Linked DNA regions of Coturnix japonica. The protein of the gene in region 1 interacts with the protein of each later gene in a biochemical or structural test. Links are inferred from orthologs where the notes say so. Each region holds a gene or a part of one and is shown in the gene's direction. Other genes may lie near its edges.

The links.
Region 2: the proteins of ZBTB16 (region 1) and HBEGF form a complex in vitro, tested with the Homo sapiens proteins (2 studies listed by BioGRID). The link is inferred for Coturnix japonica from reciprocal best matches to the Homo sapiens genes ZBTB16 and HBEGF.

What each region holds. Positions count from the first base shown.
Region 1 is NC_029539.1:3,821,013-3,824,815, reverse strand, and holds part of ZBTB16 (zinc finger and BTB domain-containing protein 16), read left to right. Parts: intron 1-3,347; coding exon 3,348-3,518; intron 3,519-3,803. UniProt on the Homo sapiens protein: Acts as a transcriptional repressor. Transcriptional repression may be mediated through recruitment of histone deacetylases to target promoters. May play a role in myeloid maturation and in the development and/or maintenance of other differentiated tissues.
Region 2 is NC_029528.1:15,566,788-15,571,227, reverse strand, and holds the start of HBEGF (proheparin-binding EGF-like growth factor), read left to right. Parts: upstream 1-1,385; 5' UTR 1,386-1,477; coding exon 1,478-1,520; intron 1,521-1,609; coding exon 1,610-1,798; intron 1,799-3,767; coding exon 3,768-3,945; intron 3,946-4,440. UniProt on the Homo sapiens protein: Growth factor that mediates its effects via EGFR, ERBB2 and ERBB4. Required for normal cardiac valve formation and normal heart function. Promotes smooth muscle cell proliferation. May be involved in macrophage-mediated cellular proliferation.

The sequences.
Region 1 (3,803 bases):
AGCACTGAAGTAGCTCTCTGTTTACTAATTATCCGTTTTTACTTCAAGCCACGCTGGCTGGCTTGTCTGATTAAATCGGATTTGTGGGATAGAGAACAGCTAGCAGAGTTTTCTCTATAGTAAACGAGATTGAAACTATGGACCGCCTGGCTGCACACTGTAAATTATATTTCCTTTTAAAGGGGACGTGTCTCTTTTATTTCTTCGGCGTACCTCCTGCATGTTAAACTTTGTGGTACAGAAATGCACCGGGTGCCTTTTAAAAATAAGAGGAAAAACAAACCTTTATTCCTTGCCATATGCCTACGTGTCTCCGGGCAAATTTCATGTTAATTCCTTCTAGCGTGGAGTCAAGGCGTAGGAGAAGCGTTGTGCTTAATACTATGGAGATTTTAGCATTCCCCACCTGAAGTTTGAAAAGAGGAGTCCCTGAGTGATGGGAAATGCATCTCCCTTGCCTTTATATACATGGGGAAAAGCACTTGTTTGGGAGCCTGGAAAGCGAAGCGTGGATATCCATGCGCACAGCTGCGCTCTCAGGGCTTTTCCTCCCTCGAGCAAGCATCAGTCCTGCAAAAATCACATCTCCCATCACCTGTTATTTAAACCTGCCTTGCGCAGAGCGGGCGGCGCTCTCTTCCAAATAGTTAATGCTGTATCCAGCATCTCATCTACATGGCAGCCTGTCGCTCCTGCCTTGGAAACCCGCAGCACTGCTACACGCAGTATTAATTGTTTACTGCTCCAGGCTGGAGGCAAACAGCACATCGGCTCTTAGAGGAGAAAAAAGGGAAGATGGGAGAAGGTGGCTATTGAATGCAGCGTAATAGGGCTGTGCTTAAACCTCCACTGTTGCTAAGACTTTAATTCCACAAGCTTGACCTATTCTGCCCTCTCTCTTGGTATCTATCTTTGTGCCTAGAGCTTTTTATATTTTAATTTGCTTTTGAATGTCCTACAAAATTAATGGTATACTTTTTGCCATTGTGTGGTGTACAGTACAGGGAAGGCCCCGTGGTGTTCGCTGATAGCCGCGTTTCCCTGGAAATGAATGGTCACCGCACTTTTCTGTTCCATATTCGCCCCTTTTAATTGTTGACAGTAAAAAGCGTTTAAATGCTGCTTAATTTGTAATCATCTTCCCGAAAAAAAGGAGAGAAACCATTAAAACGTCAGCGAAATGAATAAATCCGTCTTCCTCTTTTTGTGCCTACGTGGCGGTGTTTATTTATCGGGGGTGATTTTTCTTTCAATGGCCGAGCATTGAAACGTCCCCATGGCTCCAAAGCCAACGGGGTGCCGTCGTGGGGAGGTGGGGCTTTTCCTGCATCACCCCTTTTTCTCCTTGCCAGCAGGTCCTGCCTTGCCAGCTGTGCTTTCAGAGATGGATATGGTTGAGTGATGGAGGTGCCTGTGTGCTGTGTGATGGCACAGTGCGTGGTGGCTGCAGAGCTGCATTGCTGTGTCACCAGGCTGCAAACTCCCCGTGTCCCCATCGCAGCACAGTTGGGCACGCAATGGGATGTGTGTCCCCCACCACTCATCTCCATCCCTGTCGCCTTGTCCTTGGCCACCCATCCTCATCCATGTCACCTTATCCTTGGCCACCCATCCCAATCCCAACCCTACAGCCGTGTCCCACTGTACAGCTTAACTCCCCATACAAGGCAGCTCCTCTCCAGCACGGCGGCCCAACATAGCCCAATTTTTCAAGCGGGGGCCAATTAGTTTCACAAATGAGGGCCCTATGGTGCCAGGGAGGATTTGTTCCGGGCCTGCGCACTGGCCCGGCCGCATTGTCCTACCCCCACCCCTGCAGGATCCCATTGTCCCTGGCCCCAGCGGGGCTGCTCCCGACGGATTGATGGGGGCTGGCGTCCCGCCGGCCGGGGCCCCCATAGCACAGCTGGCCGCGGCACAGGGGCTCGGCCCCACCGACCTCTGACCCGTCCTGCTGTCACCGTGAGAGCGCGGCCGGGCTGCATACCGTGCAGGATTTGCTCTGCACCACCCGCTCGGACGGGCTTTGTGTCTCCTGGGCTCTTGGGAGAGTTTTGTGTGCAGCTGTGAGCGAGCGCGCGCGTCCCCCAGATAAATCCGTGAGGAGGGAGGTAGCAGCATCGCCACCGGGGCCACCTCGCTGCTATGTGGTTTTATTTCCATTTTGCTCATTTATTTGCACGTTCTCAGTGTCGCTCGCTTGCACGCTGCACAGCTCACCCAGCATCCCTGCACACAGGGGCATGCACAACCTGCCCGTGGAGGAGCATCCTGTTCAGTGGGGTGATGCTGCAAGCAGGGATCCATCAGCAACACTGCAGGTGCCAGGAGCACACAGTGCCCACAGCTCCCCCAGCACCCCCTTGTGTAGTGGCTTTGATCCTCAGCACCCCTCAGTTCAATTTTGGCACTGCAAGGAGCAGCCCTCCCATTCTCCACAGTGTCTTAAAGGTTGTGTGTATTTGTTGCTTACCTTGAACATCTTGCTGCTGCTAATGAATTGCTAATACAATTTTCTAGATAATTTTATTTCCATAGTCCTCCCATTTTAATGTCTCCAAAAAAGCTAGCATTTATTTGCTTAATCTCCCGGCGTAATACAATTTGCACTGACTCATAGGTTCTGAACAATCAGCTATGCATAAACTAAAACAAATTGTTTAATAACACAGAGGTCTTATATTTTTATTGACTGTGTTTAAGTATCTCTATCTTTGTGTTGGTGTTCCCTTTTATATGTACTCTTCTGTTGATGCAGCCAATTTTGTCATTGTGCACGTGGCTCATAGGATTAAGCTTCTGGTGGCATTACCATTGAGGGTTACAAGCAATGCTGGGGATGTGCATGTGGTCCTTCTGTGTTTAGTCCACTATTACCCAGAGCAGCTTTACATGGTGCTCAGGCATCCAGCTGTCTTTTCTTTGGCATTAGGAGCTCTGTCTCACGCAGGTGTATGCAGCCAACCATCAGAACACAGGGAATTACCCAAGCAGGTGCTTTGCATTTGGGTTGAGGGTGTGGAGATGCAAGCCTGCAAGGGATTTCCAGCTGTGCCCAATGCAATAAAATCCTCCTGCTCTCTTCTTGCACTTCCCCTCCATGCTGAAGGGCTAGAATTGCTGCGGTCCCACTGCCAGCCCTTCTGCTGCCCCCTAGGAGTGAGGGCTGTGGGTCTCTGCCCTGTGATGGAGCTCTTCCCATCCAGAGATGCTCTGTGTGTGAGGCTGCTGTCTGTAATGAGAGCTGGTGGCTCTGAGTGGTCACGGGGGCTCACAGTGCCCTTTGTCAGGACCACCCCTGGGAGACCCCCAGGCACTGCCTCACTCCTCTGTCTCCTCTCTTGCAGGTACAGACATGGCTGTCTTCTGCCTGCTCTGCGGCAAGCGCTTCCAGACACAGACTGCCCTGCAGCAGCACATGGAGGTGCACGCCGGGGTGCGCAGCTACATCTGCAGCGAGTGCAACCGCACCTTCCCCAGCCACACTGCCCTCAAGAGGCACCTGCGCTCCCACACAGGTACAGCCAAGGCCACTGAGAGCAGCCCTGTGCTGTGGGGTGGGGGTCCCAGTGCTGCCTGTGTCCAAGGTGCACTCATTTGGGTTCCAAGCTCTGTGCAGGAGAGCTTGGGACTGGCAGCTTGGTGGTACCCAGCAGCTGATGGTGAGCTATGGAGAGAGCTGGAGGAGCTTTCTTTGCTTCCAGGAGGGCTGGGATAAGGTTGTTCCTTGCTAAACTGAACTTTTATTCTTCTCTTTTATTTAATCTTAATAATATTGAGGCAACTGTCATCCACAACTGAGG
Region 2 (4,440 bases), on another chromosome or scaffold:
GGGTTTTGGGCCTGGGAATTTAAGCTGCCACCAGGAACAATGCAGGGCAGGCGGCCATGCTAAATGTAACCTGGAATGGTGCCTAGCCACTGCCCTTGCCCAGTGTTTGGCATCACCAGTATTTTCTGGTCTGTCACCTGGGATGAAAATTATGCCAAACACAACACAACCCAAAGTGGTTCCCAGGGTGGTAGAGGACACAGACTGCTGGAGCAATGGGGCCAGTAGCCAGGGCAACCTGCTGATGTGCCACATTCTTTGGGGAAGCCACAAGTCCACCTGGTTAATGGCCTCACAATCCAAGCACAGTGGTGGCTCCAGGACTTATCATGGAGTCACAGGGGGCTGAGGCTGGTGGGGACCTCTGGGCCCATCTGGCCCAGTCATGCCCCAGCAGAGTTATCCGGAGCAGGGTGTCCAGCACTGCATCCATTCAGCTTCAGAAATCTCCCAGGAGACACCACAGCATCTCCGGTCGCTGTGCCAGCACTCTGCCACTGCTGGAACAACAGTGTGGCTGGATGTTCAGAGGCAACTGCCTGTGTTGCAGCGTGTGCTCTTCGGCTCCTGTTCAGGCACTGGGCATACTGAGAGGAGTCTGGCTCTGTGCTCTACATGTTCTCCCTTCAAGTATTTGTGGGCACTGATAAGGTCACCCCTGGGCCTCCTCTGAGCTGAACACTAGAGCTCCCTCAGCCTGTCCCATAGGAGAGGTGCTCCAGCCCCTTCAGCCTCTCCATGGCCCTTTGCATACTCTGTAGTTATGTCCTCTGACAAAAAGGACCTCCACTACCTCTGCAGGCTGCCGCACTGAGCTGCCTCCCGTCAGCATTGCTTGGTGACAGGGAAAAGAGACACACAGCTGAACCACAGAATCATGAAGGTTGGAAAAGGCCACTAAGATCACTGAGCTCAACCACAGGCCAGTCCCCCCCATGCCCACTGACCACGTCCCTCGGTGCTGTATCTCCACGTCTCCGGAATTCCTCCAGGGATGGTGACTGCTCCACCTCCCCGGGCAGCCTGTGCCAGTGCATCACCACATCTTCTGCAAATAAATGTTTCCTAATATCCAACCTGAACGTTCTCTGGTGTGATACCAGGCCGTCACCTCTCGTCCTATCGCTAGTGCTCTGATGGTTTCAGCCTCAGTACCAGTGCCAGTGAGGAGGTATCAGCTCCGAGCCATTGTATTCTGTTTCCAACACCTCTCGGGTGGTGCTTAGGGGAGCCTCGCTCCTCTCCAGCCCACTTTTCACGGTAGCATTAGGCTCCAAAGAGCATCCTGCGGCTCCTCGCAAAGCAGCGAACGCGCCCCGACGGAGGCGGCCCCGCGGAGCCCCGGGGAAGCCCTTCCTGGCGAGGGCCGGCCCCCAGCCCCGCCCAGCCCCTTTCTACCCTCGGCGGGGCCGTGCGGGTGAAGAGTCGCTGCGGAGCGGAGCTGAGTCGAGCGGCTGCCGGGACGCTGCGCCCGGTCATGGATGGGCGGGCGGTGCTGATCCACGCGCTGCTGGCGGCAGGTGCGGAGCTGGGGGTCCGGGGTGCGGGCACGGGGTGCGGTGCGTTCGGTCTCATCCCATCCCACCTCACCGCGCCTCGTTCTCCGCAGTGTGTTCGGCGGCAGTCGGAGGGTTCGGCCGCGACGGTCCGCACGGCGAAGCGCTACACAACGAGGTGCTGCTCCATGAGGGCGCCGGAGCGGCGTCGGTCCCGGCCACGGCCCCGCTGCTGGGGACTATCGCGGAGAAGGAGGGCGGCGGAGCGGCCTCGGGGGACGCGCTGAGCGATCTGCCCAGAGGTACGTGTGGGCGGGGGGGGACTTTGGTTTGGGGGAAACCCGGGGGTCCCAGCGGAGCAGCCGGCGGGGCTGGGGTGCGGCGGCGGGTCTCGGCCGGAGCGGGGAGCAGCTCCGGGGGACGCTCGGGGCTGCGCGTCGGGCTCCGGCCCCTTTTGCTCCGCGCCGAAGGTCTCGAGCGCTCGCGGGTGAAACGAGCGACAGCCCGAGTTCGGCTGGAGAGGGGAGAGCCGTGCTGGGGCGGCCCCGGGTCCATGGCGGGCCGGAGCCGCTTTCCCGAGCGCGACCCTACCGGTGGGGGGGGATCGCCGTGACTCACCGCCGCCCACACGCGGCTGCTTTTTATGCCTCGGGTTCGTCAGCGCGGAGTCTCGGCCGAGGTGCCGGTGGCGCCGCCCGGCTGTAGAGCGCTCCGCGCGGCGGCGTTCGGCTCCTCTGCCCTGGACGGAGGATGGGGGGCGTCCCGGGGGCTGCGTGGGGACGGGGGACCCGTGTCTGCCCGGCCCTGCTCTCGGTCACCCGGCACCTGGCGGAGGTGCTCGGCCCCTCGGGAGTCCCCCTCGCATCCCTCCACCCTGCTCCCTCCTCGTCTGCTCTTTGCCCACTACCGCCGAGTGCAAGCTCCCTCAGTGCCTCAAACGGAGCTAAGGACAAATAAGTCTGTCCAGTGTTGAAGTCTCCTTCCTTTCCCTTGCTGCGGCCCCCCAGGATCCAAAGCACGAAGGATGCTGTTGGTATCTATCCCCCTACCTGCTTGGGCCAGGGCAGTTTTCCCACTTCTGACTTTCAACACGGGGCAGAGCCGTGGGATGTGGGTTGATGACAGCAGAGGTTCTCAGTGGGGTGCCTGGGGGTGAGAGGACAACCCTTGCCCTAAGAGAGCCGCCTGTAGCCTCGTACGTCATTTGTGCTCGGGGGGTTTCTCCAAGCCCCAGTTTACTGGTGTATCGGTTTCCTTCTTCATCCTTGAAGGAGGTTGAAGTTGCGCAACGACTTCCTAGACTTGCAGATGGAGTTGTGCAGCACGAGAGGCTCACGCGTGGCAGGGAGGAGCTTGCTGAGGGCTCGCTTTGTGAGGGAGCTGCTGGGCAGGAGTTTGGAACTAGCCGGGTTTGATGTGCTGCCTGTTCCCCAGTGTCCCCTCCTCAGCTGGTGCCTTGCTCAGCTCCTGTTCCCACAGTGTTACTGCAGTTACTGAGCACTGTGCTCAGGGAGAGCTGAGCAGTCCCTATCTAAGCAGTGAGTGCCCTCTGCTATCGGCACCCTGCGAGGCTGAGTGGAAGAAGGGCTTACTTCTGGCACCTGCTTATCGTAAGTTATTCTAGTATGTTGCTGGTTTTGTTCCGTGTCTGTAGGGAGCGTGCAAGGAACTTGGTGCTCCAGTTCCCACCAGCCTGTCCGGGAGCTGGCCTTGGACCAAACCCCACCAGCTTATGTCCTGCAATTAAAGAATCCCTCTGCAATTCATGGGAATGCTTCCTTTACCATCTGCTTGGTTTTGCAAAACCAAAAATTGACCTGGGTTTGCCCTTTTAATCCTGCTCTTGTCCTGTGTGCAAGCATTCTTGTAACCACAGGAAGGAGCATCCCTCAGGGCCATGAATGGACTCTTACAAAAGACTGGGGAAATAAAAGCCAGATAAAAGCACAATTAGCAATTTTGTTTTGTGTTCAGTGGAAACTGGTGGGCATAATGGCAACATTTGAGATGCATAAAGCTCTGTTTTTTGCCCAGTTTCTTGATTACTCGCTCCTTTATTTCCTTTAGAATTACTTGTATGAATCAGAAAGGCCATGATATTTGTGAAAATCTGGGAAGATGGAAAAACGTCTGCTTGGGGGCAGACAACAAAGGGCTGCGCAAATGCCAGGGTTGAGTTGGCTGCAGCCACCGGGGCTGTGCTGCTTTGCCTTGCCTTTAAATGGCAAATTGAGGTGATAAATGTTCTCTCCTTTTGAATTTGTTTTTCAGTTGCTTTCTTGTCAAAGCCTCAAGGCCCAGTCACTCCCAAGAAGAAGGGGAATGGGAATAAAAGAAGAAAAGGAAAAGGCTTGGGGAAGAAGAGAGACCCGTGTCTGCGGAAGTACAAGGATTTCTGCATTCATGGTGAATGCAAGTACATCAGAGAGCTGGGTGCTCCATCCTGCATGTGAGTGAGTGCCGCATGCCGGGAAAGCCTTGTCATTGTTCCTTGAATTCTCCAGGCAGTGCAAAGGAAGAGCATAGGGGATATTTTTAGTGCTTGTTCCCCATTCGTGCACAGATCGCTCTGACTCAGTGTCCTCTCTGCACACTGCCGCTGGAAGAGCACTGAGAAACTTCAGCCAGGATTTGCTCCTTCGAGCAAACTTGGCTTTTGCCAAAACCCATCTGGCCTTAGGGCAGAGGCTCCGGCACCCCCTGCCTGCAGGGTGTCAGTTTGTGAGCTCCTCCTGAGCTTGGCAGCAGCTGTGGAGTTTGGAGGAGGTGAAATTGCTGTGGGGCCAAGGTGCTGGCAGAGCTGACTTTCCTTCAGCTGTAGTTGGGTCCAGAGAGCTCACTGTGCACGTGAGCAGGCAGGATGGAGACAGCTTCTTGGGGGACACTCTGACAAAGCTGTGTGCTAGTAGTCCTCTGGCCCTGAGGGGTGGGACTGTGTCTGTGC